Linked DNA regions of Bombyx mori. The protein of the gene in region 1 interacts with the protein of each later gene in a pairwise test. Links are inferred from orthologs where the notes say so. Each region holds a gene or a part of one and is shown in the gene's direction. Other genes may lie near its edges.

Region 1 (4,229 bases):
AGTTTTGTAGAGTATTGCCTTATTTCGAAGGACAATTTACTTCGCTTGCAAGTCATCGGATAGAGCGAAACAATTATAATTTACGTAATGTAACTAACTCGGTCCCAACACGTGACCAGTTGGTATGACGTTCATTAATAGTCACGAATGTTCTTCCAGTCTTCATTAATACTGAATTTTTGATTGAATCATAAGAACGTGGTGTTGGTGTCAACGGAATAAACGTAAATTAAATCAATAAAAAAATATGGATCAATATAATTTTAAATAAAAATATTATAGTTATGTACCAATTTAATGTCTACTATTGAAACGCCCAAAAAGCTAAAACTATGATGTGCCTGGAATTCAGCAACTCTTTTCTTTTTAACGTTTGTTCATTCGTTTCACGGAAATAAAATTTCACATGAGACGTTTTTCTAAGCCACGCGACAGAGTCTAACTATATCGCACCCTCTCTCTCAGCTGCCACGTGCGTGCGAGCAAATAAATCGTAGAAAGAGAATTCCCGTCCTACTTACCCGGCTCACGTGTTTTTGAGCGTGAATAGTAGATCTGCGACCAATTCATGCTCCAAACAATCGTTTCCGAATCGATTTTTGCAAATGTTTTTAATTTGAAGTATAGAATTGTATATTTTTTTTAGTAATTAGTTTATTAGGCCAAATGTACGGTTTGTAGAAAACTAAAAAGGTTAGTACTAAAATCCATGTATGAATATTTCAGTTGAATACTCTTAATGATTCAAAAATAAGTTTAACAAGTTTTTCTTAACATTTTGTGATTAACCTGAGATTTCTATCTTTCTTTACATATGTATTTAATGTTTAAAAAATACTAATAGACAAAACAACCCTATTGTTGTCCTACGATTATGCTATCGACGATGAAAAGTGCTATTTTTTCTTCTTATAACATATAATATTGATCATCCGTAACAGATTTCAAAATATGAAGTAATTACTGGTCGTGTGGTATGGTGGTATTAAAAGCAAAGGTTGCGATTTGAAGAATATAGTAGTCGTAGAAATTCATTGAGATTTTGACCACATGCCTCCAGGTCAGCGAATGAATTCTTTCTAATGTGTACTCTATTAGCCTGAACAAGTTTTGTTCATCTATGCTACTTTCAAATTGAAATACTTAGCAACAAAATTTGTTGAAATGTATGATAATCGGATTACTTCAACTTTTGTATCCTGAATCCTGTATCTGTATTCTGTAAATGTAGTATCCTTTTGAAGATATCATTGGACCGCCGTGTAAAATACATTTTCCTTACATGTACATAGGTATAATAAAATTGTTTTGGAAACTTATTGCTGTTGCAGAATTAATCGATTTATTTCGATTCTCGAGTTCCAACAATCTTTGTATATCGATACTTACCTTGCAACAGTCGACTCTAGTACGCTAATTGTATTGTGACATTCGTGTTTAGAGCGTTTAAACCTCAAGACGGAAAAAGCGCGGGAAGTGTTGAATTAAGCGGGCGTCTTTTTTTTGGCTAAACTTTTGAAAATTAAATTAATTTAATATTACAGGATCAGTTAAGTTGTAAAGTGTATATATATTAGTAGTATTGATTATTTATAGTTTTAGTTTGTTTTCTTCGCCTGGTAAGTCATCTTATTGTATTATATGTAAATAGTATTTTTTTCTTGGCCTCCATGTTGGAGCCCGAAGACCCTGGAGGGACATCCCTCCAGGTGTCTCATGTAGTTACAATAGATGCTTCGGGAATGGAAACGGAAGGTTCCATTATAGATACAGACTGTTCGGAAAACATTAAATCCGTTAAAAGAAAGAGAATATCAACTAGAAACCAAAAAAAGAGAAGGAATCACAAACATACAGATCTACCAGATTGCCAACTTTCCCCTAATGATATAAAGGATAATGTTATACCTAAAGTACTTGAGTCAGATGATAAAATCACTGAAATCCATCATAATGAGGTTGCTAACTCTAAAAACATTACGAGTAACCCTCGCACTGCTAGGCTGCTTTACCAGGCGTCAGACCCTGCGCCTTATGATGTACATATTCAAAAAATTTTACAACCTAATCAAACTGGATCTATACATCCAGTACAATTTGGATTCTTTCTAAAAAAAAATTCAATAAAAAGCATTGTAGAGGGAAGCATAAAAAAAATTGGAAGGAATAGGTTGTCATTTCAATTTAAAACATTTCAGGAGGCTAACTCATTTCTAAATCACAAATCTCTTGATGATAATAAATATAAAGCTTTTATTCCGGCCTTCACTATCACCCGCATGGGAATAGTGAGAGGTGTTCCATGTGACTGGGACGAGAAAGATGTTATAGAAAATATAGAGCTTCCGCAGAACTGTGGAAGCATTCTGAAAGTTAGGAGACTAAACAGAAAGGTTTATGACGGCGAGACACCCAAGTTTGTTCCAACTGAGACCGTAGTTTTGACCTTTGATGGGAAGGTGTTACCTCCCAGGGTCTTTATGTGTTTTAACTCCCTACCTGTAGAGCTTTATATTTACCCCACGCTGCAATGCTTTAATTGCTGCCGTTTTGGTCACACCAAAATGCAATGCAGAGGCACTCCAAGGTGTTACAAATGTGGTGACAATCATTCAGGTATAAGTTGCGAGACGGAAAGAGATGATGCTGTGTGTATTTTATGTTCTGGTTCCCATTTCGCAACAGACAAAAAATGCCCGGAGTATGCTAGGCAGAAAGCTATAAAAGAAACAATGGCTAGAAACTCTATATCCTATTCAGAAGCAAGTAAAGTCTATCCACCAGTTTCAAAATCTTATGCTGACATTGTTGCTTCTGCTTCATCAGCCCCTTCGGGTCCAACTATGACTTATTCAAGCCCCTATAATTTAACAAGCCCTTTTAAGAGTCCGACTCAATCATATAAGAAAACAGTATTCTTGAAACCCAAAGCTCGTCCCAGAAATTCTAGTAAGGGATATGATCAAAAAGCGCATGCAGAGCTTATCCAAGATTACAGCAACATTCCTTCCTTTTCTACAGGTTGTCTCAAAAATTACAATGATTTGTCAGAAATAATAACAAAGGATCTCATCATTTCTATAATTCAGTACCTTTCACAATCGAACATAATTAAAATACCGTCCAACGATGCCGTTTCTTCAAAAACTTTTTTAACTAATGGACAGTCAGGACCATCCACGAAACCAGTCTCTGGTGATTCAATGGAATTGCCGGAGTATTAATAGTAAAAAAAGTGACTTAATTTTTTTATTGAATAGTTACAAACCATTTGCAGTCTCTCTTCAAGAGACTTGGCTTCGTCCTGGATTCAATTTTAGAATTCCAGGACATGTCTGTCTTAGAGAAGACAGAACAGATGGGTATGGTGGAGTGGCACTAATTCTTAGGGGAGGTGTGCCCTTTGTCCACTTACCCATCCCTAATCACAGTGATAAATTTTCTATTATTGCTGCTAGTGTAAATAATATCTGTTTTGTAAATATGTATATACCTCACCCTTCCAATGAAGTCTTTGACGATATTCGTAGCATCCTATCTTCCCTCCCGCGCCCTATTTTGGTTATGGGAGATTTCAATGCACAACATTCTATGTGGGGAAGTTCTAAGTCTGATCATTATGGGGCTAGAATCTTAGACATCTTAGATGATAATAATTTATGTCTTTTAAACTCTGGTTGTCCTACTAGAAGAACACAGCCCCATGAGGGTATTAGTGCACCAGATCTTACCCTTTGTAGTCCCTCACTTGCTCCTACATTAAACTGGTGGCCTCTATCGTCTTCATATGGAAGCGATCACTTTCCACTAATGGTATCATTTCCTCAAAAAATTTGTGAAAAGACATCAAAGGCCCCTCCCCGGCTAAAATATAGACTTAAGGATGCCAACTGGTCATTATTTGGAGATAAAGTTCAACAAAATTTATCAACCATACCTCCACTAAATGACAGCAGTAATCATCTTTGTGCTGAAGCTTTTACACGGGCCCTACTACAAGCTGCTGAGGAAGTTTTTCCTATAAAAAACAATAGTGGAAATGGGTATATTCCATCACCTCCTTGGTGGGACAGTGAGTGTTCTGCTGCGATAGCTGAGAGAAAGATAGCTGAAGAAAATTACAGAGAAAATTCTACAACACAAAATTTTAATATTCTTAGTAATCTTATAACTAAAACTCGTAAATTATTAAAACAAAAAAGATTCAATAGCTGGAAATCTTTTTGTGC
Region 2 (3,500 bases), on another chromosome or scaffold:
TCACAGAGCGAATGCGTTATCCATCGGGAAAACATTTTTTTTACACCTAATTGTTCATGTAAGATTATTTGTATTTGACTCATGCCAATGTCTAAAGTTGCCTGAATTTCGCGGTATGTCACATGTCGATCTTCCTCAATCAGCTTACGCACAGCATCAACGTTTTCTTGGGTGACTGCAGTTTTTGGACGACCTTGACGGGGATCATCACTGAGCTTGACACGTCCACGTTGAAACTCAGCAAACCAGCGATAAATTGTGGTTTTGGATGGGGCTTCATCACCAAATGCAGAAATCATCCGGTCAACACACTGTTTTTGTGTTAAACCACTTCGAAAGTCATAATAAATCATCGCTCTTGAATTTTCTCGAGTCAATTCCATTTTCTCAACGACTAAACAAGTTTGACAAAACCTCGTGACAAGACCGAGAATCTTTTTTTTAAATAAATAAATGGTATTCGATTTTTAAAACCAAGGAGTTTTCAATTAAAAAGATTTTAATATGACAGGAACAGTGGAAATATTCCATTCCCGATACTTTTAGTGCAGCCTAGTAATCCGACTTATCAGTTAATTGAAAATGTTTAATATAACATTTTTCACAAGATCGTGACTGTTAGTTATAATATTGTTTTGTAAGTGAGCCAAGTGTTTATAAAACATTTCTTATCTAACATCAACAAGGTATGTAATGCGGTAATTTTATAGAATCACGTGTGGCTCGATACGTTTAATGACAGACCGCAACTATTGGTTTTGTTTCTTCACAATTTGCACGTTCGTTTTAAAAGGCTTCTTCGAGTAAACTATATAGGCCGGTTATCATATTTTCTCGATCTTTAATTAAGCGCGGCTTTGTCCTCGTAAATCTAGGCGTCTTTAAGATAAAATAAGTACATTATAGTGTTAAGCAAATTACCATGGCGAATTCTATGATTTGATTTGATGATTTTTAGCGTCTCTATAGAGTATTAGCCAAGCCCGGTCAGATTTGCCGATTTTTATTTGACTTCGATCCGATCGCTATAAAAAATAACAGGATCTCCTGGCCTGCTAGCCAATCTCAAGATGTGATGAAAATTCCATCGAAATCAGCCCAACTTTATCGATTTAAAAAAGTGTTGTTTTTTTCGTGACAAAAAGTACCAAAAAGTCATGCCGATTTACTCAGTACTCAGTAACTGCTTCGTTATTGCGTAAATAAACAGATCGATATTATAGATTTACAACACCGTTATTATAATTCCTGTAAGTGTAAGCTATTGGTATGTACATAATTATAGCTACGTCACAAACGAAACGACCTCAATACGAACGGCTTCTTAATAAAACGATCGAATTTCAATTGGAAATTTTCTGTCTTGTTACTCGCAGTCGGATAAGTTTTAAAAAATATTATTTGTCCTCCGAAATATTCGATGTATATACTTAACGAAATTGATTTTGTTTTTGATCGAATTTGTATTATGACTGTGCTGATACATAAAAACAGCAGTCCACGTTAAGAATGAACTAGAATGATTTCAATTCATGTAAAAATTTTGCATTTTTTTTTCCTATCTATTCTAGTAACCTCAAGGGATTATTCTAGATTCGCCGAATTACTAGGTGAGCTCACGGGGCTCAAACCTGATGACGTTGCTAACACGAACCCTAGCAAGAGTCGTGCTTCGCAGAATCTACCACCGGATCGGAAACGCGAACCACTGAGAAGATCCGGCGAGGAACTCAGTGGGCTGTGTCTGGGTTAATTTATTCGCCGAGCCCTCCGACGCAAGCGACGGGTTCGATGAAAACGATGACCGGGTTTTTTGCATAAGCACGCAATCACACATTGATAAGTGCTCAATAATCACTCAGCGATATATTTTCATTGTTAACATCACTAGCGGCAAATACGCATAAATCACTTGTTAATTATAAGACCTGAGAGGAGAATCTCGGAGAATTTGTAAATTTGTATGGGTGATATCTTCTTTGCAGATTTCTAAACGAATAATTGTAAGGGGATACTAAAGATGCTTGGCGGTAGCGTTCTGTGGTTCCGTCACGGGCTGCGTCTCCACGACAATCCGTCTCTTCATTCGGCGTTGGAAGAAACGAGCGGCCCTTTCTTTCCCATTTTCATTTTTGACGGGGAAACTGCTGGTGAGTTTCTATTTTTTTATTGCTTAGACGGGTCGACGAGCTCATCTGATGTTAAATTGTTACTGGAGCCGATAGACATCTACAACGTAAATGCGCCACCCACCTTAAGATATAAGGTTCTAAGGTATAGTTACAACGGCTGCCCCACCCTTCAAACCGAAACGCATTGTACCTTTCACGACAGAAAATAGGCGGGGTGGTGGTACCTACCTGTGTGGACTTACACGAGGTCCTACCACCAGTCGGCGCTTTGTATTTTACTAGTCTTGTACTCTTAATTGATAACGTATAAAATATCATATCGGGCTTAATTATATGGAAACACCACTACCCGCCCGGTTTTACATGCATTCTAATATCCGGATGAATGGAATATATACTGGGTGTTATGAGACCGCTTCCGAAAACGAAGATAGACGATAGTCCTAATGACACCTTTGATGGATGGGACGGAAAAAAATCGGTCCTGATTAAAAAAAAACATTTTTTAAAAATGTTTTAATAGCATTATTTACCCTCCATCATTTTAGTATAGCTAAATGAAACTATAGTTTCATAAAATATACATTACTTTACTCAAAGAAAAGCCAGCAATGAAACACAAAATTAAAACCAGCTGATGCTCGGATCAACGAACGCCCGGGCGCGGCGTTTCTTTTACACGCACACAGGTGCGGCACGGCGGGGGCGCGGCGTTTCGTTTTAGGAAGCGGTCTTCTAACAGCCAGTATTTGAGAAATTACTGACTATATTTTACATTCAATAGGAACGAAAGTGGTCGGGTACAACCGAATGCGGTACTTGCTAGAAGCGTTAGATGATTTGGACAAGCAATTCAAGAAGTACGGCGGAAGATTACTCCTTGTTAAAGGGAAACCCAGTGCTGTGTTCCGCAGACTCTGGGAAGAATTTGGTAAGTGGCATACCGAAAACTCAGTCACATATTTAGGCAAGCTGAGCGCCGTGAGCTTGTCTACTTGGCAAAGCTGGTATGACCCATCGAGACTACCAACATAGGTAGAAGAAATCAGTAATATTTGGTGTTCCTTTTTTCTTTTCCTACCTATTCGCTGGTAGCTTAAGAGGCTATTTATTTATTTATTTATTTATTTGGGAAACAAACAGTACAATACAAAACATACAATATTTAAAAAAAATTTAGCTAAAACAATAACCAAATATGTTTCCACAATCAAAATGCTATTCCAGCTATGCCCAGACGTGTAACTGAGCTTACGGGCTCAACCTGAGAGAACTTGCTAACACTAACCCTAGCAAGAGCAGTGCTTCGCAGAATCTACCACCGTATCGGAATCGCGACCCATTGAGATCCGGCGAGAAACTCAGTGG

The links.
Region 2: the proteins of Per (region 1) and cry1 interact in a two-hybrid assay, tested with the Drosophila melanogaster proteins (5 studies listed by BioGRID). The link is inferred for Bombyx mori from reciprocal best matches to the Drosophila melanogaster genes per and cry.

What each region holds. Positions count from the first base shown.
Region 1 is NC_085107.1:12,565,271-12,569,499, reverse strand, and holds the start of Per (period), read left to right. Parts: upstream 1-1,429; 5' UTR 1,430-1,619; intron 1,620-4,229. UniProt on the Drosophila melanogaster protein: Essential for biological clock functions. Determines the period length of circadian and ultradian rhythms; an increase in PER dosage leads to shortened circadian rhythms and a decrease leads to lengthened circadian rhythms.
Region 2 is NC_085123.1:13,776,125-13,779,624, forward strand, and holds part of cry1 (cryptochrome 1), read left to right. Parts: intron 1-1,985; 5' UTR 1,986-2,020; coding exon 2,021-2,150; intron 2,151-2,916; coding exon 2,917-3,063; intron 3,064-3,500. UniProt on the Drosophila melanogaster protein: Blue light-dependent regulator that is the input of the circadian feedback loop. Has no photolyase activity for cyclobutane pyrimidine dimers or 6-4 photoproducts.